2 linked regions of the Macaca mulatta genome follow. The protein of the gene in region 1 interacts with the protein of each later gene in a biochemical or structural test. Links are inferred from orthologs where the notes say so. Each region holds a gene or a part of one and is shown on either strand. Other genes may lie near its edges.

Evidence for each region.
Region 2: the proteins of SHC1 (region 1) and PTPN12 form a complex in vitro, tested with the Homo sapiens proteins (2 studies listed by BioGRID). The link is inferred for Macaca mulatta from reciprocal best matches to the Homo sapiens genes SHC1 and PTPN12.

The regions. Positions count from the first base shown.
Region 1 is NC_133406.1:112,031,237-112,036,884, reverse strand, and holds the start of SHC1 (SHC-transforming protein 1), read right to left. Parts: upstream 3,838-5,648; 5' UTR 3,680-3,837; coding exon 3,185-3,679; intron 2,603-3,184; coding exon 2,532-2,602; intron 1,990-2,531; coding exon 1,926-1,989; intron 1,770-1,925; coding exon 1,650-1,769; intron 1,413-1,649; coding exon 1,359-1,412; intron 1,187-1,358; coding exon 1,135-1,186; intron 956-1,134; coding exon 829-955; intron 1-828. UniProt on the Homo sapiens protein: Signaling adapter that couples activated growth factor receptors to signaling pathways. Participates in a signaling cascade initiated by activated KIT and KITLG/SCF.
Region 2 is NC_133408.1:141,997,339-142,002,996, forward strand, and holds the start of PTPN12 (tyrosine-protein phosphatase non-receptor type 12), read right to left. Parts: upstream 3,286-5,658; 5' UTR 2,837-3,285; coding exon 2,738-2,836; intron 2,394-2,737; exon of another isoform or gene 2,226-2,393; intron 1-2,225. UniProt on the Homo sapiens protein: Dephosphorylates a range of proteins, and thereby regulates cellular signaling cascades. Dephosphorylates cellular tyrosine kinases, such as ERBB2 and PTK2B/PYK2, and thereby regulates signaling via ERBB2 and PTK2B/PYK2.

The sequences.
Region 1 (5,648 bases):
GAGTTCAAGACCAGCCAGGGCAACATAGCAAGACCTTATCTCTACCAAAATAAAAATACTACTACTCAGCCACGTGTGGTGGCATGCACCTGTGGTCCCATCTACTCAGGAGGCTAAGGTGGGAGGATCACTCAAGCCCAGGGTATGAAGGCTACATTGAGCTGTGATTGCACCACTGAACTCCAGCCTGGGCTACAGAGCAAGGCTCTGTCTCAAAATAAGTAAGTAATGCTTTTGCTCTTGATCTCTGTGGGAGGCGCTCCAGCTCCAGAAGCACTATGGGGGGGGGGGGTGGGGTGTGTGTGTGTGTGTGTGTGTGTGTGTGTGTCTGTCTGTCTGTCTGTGTGTGTCAGCGTCAGCAGGGAGGCGCTCCAGCTCCAGATTTTACCTCCAATCCCTACTGGCTCCACTGCTTATCCCTCAAGGCCTGAGGTGGGAAAGATTGTAATCTCAGGGAAAAGAGATATCCTCCCAAACCCAAAGTCTTGATGGCTTCTAGAGGCAGGAAAACACAGAATGCCAAGCAGAGAAATGAGCAAGAAAGAGGAATGGGAATAGAAAATCCCACCTAGCCAGAGAGAGATGTAACTTGGAGGCCCTGGACTACAGCTCCACCATGAGCAAACAAGAAAAGCTGGCCCTGCGGCAAGCAGGGCCTCAAAAGCCTTTCCTCCTGGGCCACAGGAAACAGAAGAATAGCAGGAAGTGGGAAGCAGAGGCACACAGGTTATTCCCTCCCTGAACCTCTCAGCTCAAGTGTGGGAAGAACAGCCCTCCTTTCCCAATCTTGGTCTCAAAAGCTGCTCCACACTCTCCCCACTTGCTCACCTGTCATGAGGGGTGACCAGTTTGGGTGGGTTCCTGAGGTATTGTTTGAAGCGCAACTCAAAGGCCTGGCCAATGGTGCTGATGACATCCTGGGCAAGCCCTTCGGGACACTCCAGAATGTGGCAGGCTGAGGGCACAGCAGAGGCTGTCAGTGAGTTGAGCCCACTGGGAGGAGGCACAGACAGGGGCCCTCATCTTCCTCGGCAGGAACCCCCACTTAGATCTACTTAGAGTGGGTACAAATGACCCCAGGTCCTACTCACCTCAAACAGCCAGACCCACCCAGTGCTCCCCACCATGCCTCACCTCTCTGATTCACAGGGTCTTTGGCAACGTAGGCGACATACTCGGCTGTGTCCTGGGGAGGAAAGTCAGAAAATTTTACAGTTCCACTTTACTCCTGACCCCTAAAACCCAGTCCTTTTCAGATATCCCCACAGTCCTAGCACCCCCACTTCTCTAATCAATGTCTTCCCAATCACTAGCCCCTTGCTCTTCTCCCACCACCTTTGCTCTGTTCCCCAACTCACCGGATCCCCGCCGGATGCAAATGAGATAGATTGCATGTGGTGGTTGGCGATGATCTGAGAATTAGGGGAGGGGATGGAGAAGGAAGGGAATGCCATGTGTCAGGCAGCCTCAGGGCCCAGAACCCTGGTGCCCCAGTCTCATTCTCTGGGTTCCTTATCCCATATCCTCATTTCCTCCTTCCCTACTGGTCTTCTGCTCTCAAGCCCTCTTCCTAGTTTTTGGCCTCCTAACTAGATCTCCCCTTAGCACCCCCATCGGTGTTTCTGGTCCACCTGCCCACCTCCACCAACCTGTTTGCAGTCTGCGGCCATGAGGTTGAGGCTGCTGGTGGAGACGGTGAGAGTGATTGGCATTCCAGCAAATTTCAGGTTACTCCTCCCCAGGATAGAGCTGAGCGGGCGGCTACAGGGCTAAGGTAGGGCCCAGGGTCTTAGAAGGTGAGGGTTCCCAGCACAGACAAACCATACTCTTGTCTCCTGGCCCTCTCCCCACATGCCCCACACTTGCCTCCTCACTGTCCCTCCACATTTCCCAGCAGCATCCCTATCCCCAAGGACCCCAAGTACCTTTCTCCTCCTTGTCGCCCCCTTAGCACCCGGCACAGCCTCACACACCAGACTGATGGCCTCCCTGGGGAAAGAGGGGTACTCAGACCCAGCGCCTGCCTGCCTGCCTCCCACTCAACTGGGGCTGCCACAGAGCTGGGGGAGGGGAAAGCCAGGCCAGACTCCCAGGGCACTCCAGGCTCTTTGTCGTGGTGGATTGAATTAAGGGCCTTTAATATTTGATGACACTGAGAGGCCGCTTCCTGGCTGATTGGGTTAGGGCCTCAATGGGTATAGCCCCACCCCCTTCCAGCTACCAAATGTCCCATTCCCTTCCCAAAGGCAGCAGCAACCTTCCATCTACCCCATTTGCTACTCCAGCTCCACCTGCCAGCTGCTTCTGCTACCTTCCCCACAACTCCCAAGGCTGGACAGGTAAGGAGGATCCGGGCCAGAGGGGCCTCCTTTCAGTAAGAGGCAGAATCACTATCCCAGCTTTCTCTCAATCCCCTTTACTACCCAAAGATCAGCCCCAACCAGCAGCACCCAAGTGACCCACTCCCCTCCGCCCTTTCCCATGGCCTCACTAATCCCAGGACTCCCACAGTCCACTCCCTCCCCACTAACCTGGTAACCTGAGTCCGGGTGTTGAAGTCCAGGGCACGCATTGACTGAAGGACCTCCACACAGCCCATGTACTAAGGGGAGGGAGGAGAGGACAGCAGGTCAGCCGCTCCCTGACCCCAGTCCCTTCACAAAGGGCCCTAGGACTTTGCCCATATGGTCCCTAAGAGAAGTAAAGAGGAAGAAGTTCTGCCCTCTTCCCGTGTCTACATCCCACAACCAAGGTGAAAGACAACAGGGAACGAGCAGAGAAAGAAAAGGCAGGCTAGAAGGACCTCACGCACTGGGGAGAGAGTTTGGAGGGGACTGACAGGCACTGACTGGGATGGAGCAACAACTCCAGAAAGCGGGAGGAGAATGGAGGAAAGGATCAAGAAGTCACTCCTTCCAGCACTTATTAAGAGCTTCTGCCATGCTGGGCATTGTGCTAAGCATGGCAGGGTGGGGGTAGGGGAGTCAAAAGAAGGAAGGGGGCCCAGGCAGAGCTGGAAGGGAAAGGGCTACAGAATTGGGGAAGGGATGGGAAAGGTTTAGGAAATAGAACACTGAAACAGGGTTGTTGGGGAACAGCAGGAAAAAAGAATTCCAGCCAAGCTGGAGTGAGCAGAAGAACTGGAGGGGTCTGGGAGGCAATGGAAAGGAGGATGTTCACTCACCCGAACCAAGTAGGAAACCCCGGGTCCCATGACTTTGTCGTTGGGATGCAGCCAGCCCCGCGTGGGCTTATTGACAAAGCTCCCGTGGCGGGTCCACTCCTCGCCCCCCAGCTGGCCCCCTTCCACCCGAGTCCTGCGCCCGCCGCCTCCACTCAGCTTGTTCATGTCCTGGAGGAGGGGTAGGGGGCCTGAGTCTGGCATGGCTGCCCCTACGATCCCCTCCCCATCATCGGCTGCCCTTCCTGGCTCCCCCTTAGACCCTGGGCGCCCCCCAGCCGGGTTGGCCAGCCTCAGGTTGCTCATCCGGGGGAAGAAGGAGCACAGAGTAGTGGGACTATCGTCCCCAGGCAGAGGAGGCAGGATGGGCCCCAGGGATGAAGCTGATGGGGAAGGCAGCTCCTCCGGGGGGGTGGACCCTGAAGCCCCCTCCTCCAGCGATGACAGAGACTCATTCCGGAGTGGATTGTACTTGGGCTTGGGGGGCAGGAGATCCATAGCTGAGGTGAGAGAGGGGCTGCTGCCCGGCCTGGCCCCCCTGCCAGTTTGGGCAAGGGGGCCAGGCAGGGGGTATCCCCAGGCCCTTAGCCTGGTCGGACCTCTGTGGCCCACGAGTCACAGAAGTCCTGGGGAGGGAGAGGGACAAGTGGCTTCCGCTCCCCAGCTCAGACCCAGACAGTTTCGGGCCCCATCCCCGCCCAACGTGGAGCCTCTTCTCTGGCTGAGAAGAGAACAGGCTGGACCCAGAGCTGCCTGGCTCCTCCCCAGGGGCGGAGAGCTAAAGGGAGAGACCAATCACGAGGACAGTGCTGACTCACAGGCTCAGAGGGGCTGAGCCCCCACCCCGCCCCAACCTCGGACTGGAGCAGAGGGTAGGGCTATCCAAGCTCCTCTCCCCTGCCCTACACAAACAACTAGTAATCTGGGGAGAAGGAAAGTGGGGGTGGGAGGGAAGCATGGAGGAGTTGGACGGAAAGAAAGGAGATAGGAGGTCTGGGTCACTCGAAACCGGACACAGGCAGGCCAAAGGGGGCAGGAAGCCAGGCTAGAGTAGAGGGGAATGAGGGAGGAAACAGAGGCAGCTGCGGGTGGAAAAGGGAGGAGATCTCAGAGCTCAGCATTTCCCTTCCTGTTCTGGTTGGACACTCGAATTCCCCACCCTCCAGCCCAGGCCACCCCCAACCACTACCCCATACAGTAAGCCTGGGCCATTAGCATCCTCTGCTACGACAGCTGTGGACTGGAGCTAGCGAAGTGGGGATGGGAAGGAAGTGGTCCCAATGGATGCAGAGCAGGGTCAAGAGGAGAAGCAAAGTTGGTGAAAAAAGGGGAATAAAGTCCAACCTGGATGGTACATCAGGAAGCTACCAGGCAAGAGGGGAACAAGAGGACATGCTGGTCACGGCTTGTTCTCTATGTATGCCATCTACCACACCAAGACCCATGGCTCATAGCCAAGCACTGTCCTCTCCCCTTTCCACAGGCCTTGTTAACACAGCACACTGTCAAGGGTGAGAATGAGGCAATCAGGTCCCCACTCCCACTCCAAACCACCCCAATTCATATCCCTCCTCTTACAGGACCCTAAGCCCCACCAAACAGCACAGTGTCCCTCACACCAGGGGAGGAGCCTGGCTGGAGGAGGTGGAAGAAACAGTTCTCCAAGAGAAGCAGAAACGACAGGCCAGGAAGGGACAGAGAGATCAGAAGACACATCTGTGTCAATAAGAACAGGAGAAAAAACAAGTAAGCACAGGAGAAAGTGGTGTCAGGAGAAGATGGGTTGAAGCTGGACACAGGGAACAGTCCCAAACTCATTCCTGCCACCCACGGCTTCCTGCCACTGCTCTTCTGGAGAATGCCATAGGCAAAGCTGGAAAGCGACCAAAAAACAAAAAACAAGTTAAAGATACATATTCCCGCCGGGTAAGGTGGCTCACACCTGTAATCCCAGCACTTTGGGAGGCCGAGGCGGGTGGATCACCTGAAGTCAGAAGATTGAGACCAGCCTGGTCAACATGGTGAAACCCCGTCTCTACTAAAACTACAAAAATTAGCTGGGCGTGGTGGTGAGCACCTGTAATCCCAGCTCGGGAGGCTGAGGCAGGAGAATCGCTTGAACCCAGGAGGTGGAGGTTGCAGTGAGCTGAGATCGTGCCATTGCACTCCAGCCTGGGTGACAAGAGCAAAACTCTGCCTCAAAAAAAAAAAAAAATACGTATTCACCCAAGCTCACCTTGGAATTACCCTTAGATTTACTTCAGAGGATTAAAATATAGATAGATAATTATCCTGATTAACAACATTAACACTTAAAGTGTGTTAGATACTGTGCTTAACTCTTAAATCTCCCCTTAGTGCTCATTCCAGAAGAGCCTTGTCACTCTGTCAGCCAATCCTGAGAAGGAATTTTATCACTTCTTTTCCAGCCAGCTCTCGGGCATAGAGAGAATGAGGAAAGGATTCC
Region 2 (5,658 bases), on another chromosome or scaffold:
CCACTGCACTCCAACCTGGGCGACAGACGAGACTCCATCTGAAAAAGAAAGAAGAAAGAAAGAGAGAGAGAGAGAGAGAGAGAGAGAAAGCGAGAAAGAAAGAAAGAAAAGAAAAGAAAAGAAAGAAAGAAAGAAAGAAAGAAAGACAGAAAGAAAGAAAGAAAGACAGAAAGAAAGAAAGAAAGAAAGAAAGAAAGAAAGAAAGAAAGACAGACAGACAGACAGACAGACAGACAGACAGAAAGAAAGAAAGAAAGAAATGAACTCTCCAATAGGAATCCCTGACTCATCCCCAAAGCATGAACCCTAAGGCTACTTCTCCAATACAGGAGTTCAGAGGCTGGGCACCTGTCCTGATGGCCCGCATCACCAAACAATGCTCCTCCCTGTCGGTATATGCCTAGGGATAACAAGGTGACTAGCATGCAAACAAGAAATGACCAGGGACCACACCATCTCTTCTTCCATAACCAAAATAAGATGGTAAAAAACTAGTTTTAGGCCCGGCACAGTGGCTCACGCCTGTAATCCCAGCACTTTGGGAGGCCAAGGCAGGTGGATCACTTGAGATGAGGAGTTTGAGACCAGCCTGCAAATATGGCAAAACCCCATCTCTACTAAAAATACAAAAATTAGCTGGGCGTGGTAGCTTGCGCCTGTAGTCCCAGCTACTTGGGAGGCTGAGGCAGGAGAATCGTTTGACTCTGGGAGGCAGAGGTTGCAGTGAGCTGAGATTGCACCACTGCACTCCAGCCTGGGCTACAGAGCGCAGAGCAAGACTCGTCTCAAAAACAAAAACAAAAAAAGCTAGTTTTAAACGCCTTAAATATTCAAAGTATTTTCTTCTACTTTCGCTAGAAAGTAGTAAAAAGGGGACTGCATCCAGTTGCTGTAAATGACACCATTCAAAAGATACTAAGACAATTAAAGTTCAATAGTAAAAAAGGAAAATACCCTCTTTTCCTTAACCCTTTCAGATCAAAAAGTAATTTTTCAAAAATACATAGGCTAAATATCAAGAGCAAATGTTTAAATATAAGCAATATTTTTATTTTTAATAAGGAATAAGTTAGATTATTTAACTTATATTTTCAATCTTCAAAAGATACTGAGAAAACTTTACTTCCATCCTCAATTATTGGTCTGGGGAGGCGGGAATCACAAAGCTCAACGATACTAGTATAATATTGTGTAAGGTCAAGGACCTATTTTATAAGCAGTTAAAAATTTAACGCTAAGCTTTACTGGACAGGTCTCTTTAAAACGTGAAAAAGTATTCACTACTAAGTCATATCACCTCCACCATAAAAACTACTGTACTTTTTAAATAAAAAATAAAAACTAGCCAATGTCTGCTGCCCATTCATTTTACAGATATTAACTGTGTATCCTTTTCATAATCAGGTTTCAGAGTTAAGTGATTATTCTTGGAGGTGTACCTTACCCAGGATAAAAATTTTCCCTAGCTGATTTCCCCTTCCCAACCCCCGCCAAGACTAAGGAGCAACCACTTCCCAAAGTCCCACTTCCTTTTCCATTCCCCAGACCTACAGGGTTTCCAACGCCCCAGTCTTGCGCAATATCCGTAGGAGCAGCAGCCGCAACCACCGCCTCCTAAGCCGGGAAACAACCCTAGAGGGAACATTGTCCAGCAGAAAAATAAAAGGGGCGGGGGTTGGGGGGGGTGGGTAACATAGGAAGTCGACTTCTGGTCCCACGCCTTCGGATCTGACCCCCTCATAGTGAGCTAGAGCAATAGTGTATCTAGAGCAGTTTCATGAACAAGACTTTTAACCTTCACCTCCTCTCAAGCCTGCTTGCACAAGCAGAGGGCGGAAAGTGGGGGGTGGCGGAGGCGGGGGGGGGCGCTGGGAAGGTTATCTCCCAGTTCAGGGCTTCGGCCCGTAGCGACGCCTCCGCCCCACCAGGACTATTGTTCCCAAGTTCCCCACCCCCACCCCGGATAGGAAGTGATAGTCACATCCCCTTCGCCTTCGGCAATATCCCCTGGGGAGTCCGAAGTCGGTTTCCTTCAGGATAATCCCCCCCACCCACACTTATCCCCTGAACCGGACCCCAAGATCACCTTAAACCTGGGTCTCAAGAGAGGAGAAGCGGGACGCGGGTAAATGGAAATTAGGTAAACCCATGAGATTCCTTATGGACAATCCTTTCCCAAGCGTTGGAGATCATGATTGCGACCCCAGAAACGGCAGAAGTCCTACCTTGCCCGCTTTGAGACCAGCTAAAGCAAAGGGATCCCAGGAGTTAGTGCCAACCTCAATTCCCCCGTTCCTCTGTCAGCCACGATCTGCACTCCTCCCGGTCACAGCCAGATACCCTGCCTCGACCCTCCTGGGAGGAGCGGACTGGGCGGGGAGATGTGGAAACGCGAGCACCCCCCGGCCTGCACCTCACTAGTCTCCGGCTCCCGGCCGGGTAAACAATAGGTGGTCGCGAGCCGCGGTGCAGGCTGCAGGCTCGGCCGCTCGGCCGCTCCCTTCGCGCCCCGGGCGCCCGCGCGGGGGTCGCGAACATGGGAGAAGAAAGGAGGCCACGGCGGGAGGCGCTCTCGATTCCCGCCGGCTTCCAAGACCACCCGGCCCACCGGGCTGGTGCGCGCCCCCTCCGCCCCTTTCCTCACAGAGGTACACAAAGCACTGGCGGCCCGGCCGGGAGAGGCGGCGATGGGCTCCGGCGCCGGCGAGACAAGGCGACAGCGAGGGGAGAGACTCACCATGAAGTCCCGAGCGAAGTTGTCCTCCCCATTGTGGTCAGGACTCTTCATGGCCTGGACCCTCTGGATGAATTTCCTCAGGATCTCCACTTGCTCCATCCTCCCGCGTCCCCCCGGCTGCGGTCGCTGGCCCCCCCGCCGCCCGCCCGCCCGGCGCAGAGCCCGCTCCGTCTTCCCCAGCTCGTTTCCCCAGCACGTCCCTCCCTCCCGACCCCCGCCAAGCCCCGCGGCTCCCTCCTCCTCCCCACTGCCCTAGGCGGCGGCTGCGGCGGCACCGGCTGGGCTCCCGACACCACAACTTCCAGGAGCAGCCGCCGCTCTCCCACAGTACCAGGCGAGCCGCTGCGGCTAGCGCCAACCCCAACCCCCAGCTTGCTCCATCCTCCTTCCCCGCCCTCCTCCTCCGTCGGAGACGCCGCCGCCGCCGCCGCCGCCGCCGCCGCCGCCGCCGCCGCCTCAGGAACACAGCTAGCTCTCCGCTCGCCCTGCCCCCCCTTCCCGGTTCTTCCTCCCCCCCACCCCCCGCCAGCAGCCGCAGCCGCAGCCGCCTCTCCCCACGGGCGCGTCCCCGCCGCCACCCAGATGCGCGGCCTCGCGCTGCGGCTCCGCCCCAAGCGCCGCGCCTGCTGATCCATCCCCGCCCGCCTCCCGGCCACGCCCCCAAGCCCGCCCTGCCGGCCCCAGGCCCGCTTGGAGTGGCTGGAAGGCACTTCAGCGGGCGGCCTGGAGACCTGACTCCACTTCCGGGGCGTGGCCCCGTTCAGGGATCTTAGAGGTCGGAGTAGCGTCGGGAGGAGAGTTGGTTCCTCCGAAGGAGGGAATGCGACTCAGAGCGGGGCAAGCAGTAGTGTATCAGAGTAGGATTCTGCTGGAATTTGCGGTCTCACCGCCTACTAGGGAAGAGAAGCAGTTTTCAGGAGTCCCGCACCGCCGCCAGCCGTGGACTGGGCCTACAAGTCACGGCCTGTGGAGTCCAGGAGTGGGGGCGGGCGAGGGCTGGCTGGAGGCAGGCTGGGAACTGTAGTAGTGTCACCGCCACGTTCGCGGCAGGTAGATGCTCATTTTGGTAACGGATTGGTGAGAGTGGATAGCAATTAGGCTTCGGCACCTTGGAGTGTGGCTCAGCTAAGGGAAGTGAAACGCTTCCTGGGTGAGAGGACTTTTATTATTTGCGCATCCTCTTAAACCTGGCGAGTGAGCGCCTGAGGTTCGGAGTGCCTTCTTCCCGGATGACGCGGGTGTGGGATCTTCGTGTTTGCCGAACTGAAGGAAATTTGCCTTCCTGCCTTGAGGTTCGCAGCAGTTCATAACTGAATAAGAGACTTCCCTCAGTAGAATGGACTTTATTTATAAATCTATTAAATCTTTTTTTTTTTTTCCCCAGAGCTAAGGTCTTGCTCTATCGCCCATAGTGCAGTGCTATGATCACGGCTCGCTGCAGCCTTGAACTCCTGGGCTCAAGGGATCCTCCTACCTCAGTACATCACCAAGCCCAGCTAATACATTTTTAAAATTTATTATTTATTTGTTTAGTTTTGGTAGAGAAGGGGTCTCACTAGGTTGCCCAGGCTGATCTCAAATTTCTGTGCACTGGGGATCCTCACCCCCTCAACTTCCGAAAGCGTTGGGATTCTAGGCGTGAGCCACCGTGCCTGGCCTATAAATCTTTATTCATCTTTGTAAACTTCTATCAGAGAATTTATTCTGGTCTAACTCATCATTTTACAAATAAAGCGACTTCCTGACATCCCCCAGAGTATTCTTAGCAGAGCCGTAACTAGAACACAAGTTATTTTACTTTCACAACAGTGGCCTCTCACAATGTGACAGAACTGAAGGATTTGATCCGTGAACTGAATTTCATCATTTATACCCACAAACGTTTTTGTACAGAGCAGGGAATTTGGTTATAATAGGAAATATCAGTGGTAGAATACTTTATTAGATGAAAGTTAGGAGCACTATGGAATTTAGTGAAAAACTCATAGAAGAAAACAGGTGTAGGCCGGGCGTGGTGGCTCATGCCTGTAATTCCATCACTTTGGGAGGCCGAGATGGGAAGATCACCAGGAGGCGGAGGTTGCAGTGTGCCGTGATCACACCACTGCACACCAACCTGGGCGACGAGACTGAGGCCCTGTCTCATAAAAAAAGAAAAAGAAAGAAAATAGGTGTAACAGGATACAGTTTATTTACTTCTTCAAAAAAAGGAAAATATTTCTCTTAAAATAATCCAACTAATATATCCACCCCAGAAATAGGCACGTCAGACCGGGTGCAGTGGCTCACGCCTGTAATCCTAGCACTTTGGGAGGCCGAGGTGGGCGGATCACTTGAGGTCAGGAGCTCCAGACCAACCTGGCGGATATGGTGAAACTCTGTCTCTACTAAAAATACAAAGCCGGGTGTGGTGATGCACGCCTGCAGTCCTAGGTACTCCAGAGGCTGAGGCAGGAGAATCGCTTGAACCTGGGAGGTGGAGGTTGCAGTGAGCCGAGATCGTGCCACCACACTGCAGCCTGGGTGAAAGAGCGAGACTCCGTCTCGGGGAGGGAGGAGGGGAAAGCCAGGCGCGATGGCTCATGCCTGTAATCCCAACACTGGGAGGCCGAGGTGGGAGGATCACCTGAGGTCAAGAGTTCGAGACCAGCCTGGCCAACATGCTGAAACCCCGTTTTTACTAAAAATACAAAAAAATTAGCCGGGCGTGGTGACGCATGCCTGTAATCCCAGCTAGTCAGGAGGCTGAGGCAGGAGAATCGCTTGAACCCGGGAGGGGGAGGTTGCATTGAACGAGATCGCACCATTGCACTCCAGCCTGGGCAACAAGATCGAAACTCCGTCTCCAAAAAAAAAAAAAAAGAAAAGAAAAGAAAAAAAATGCACTTCAAGTTATGCCCTTCCAAATTTTTTCCTATGCA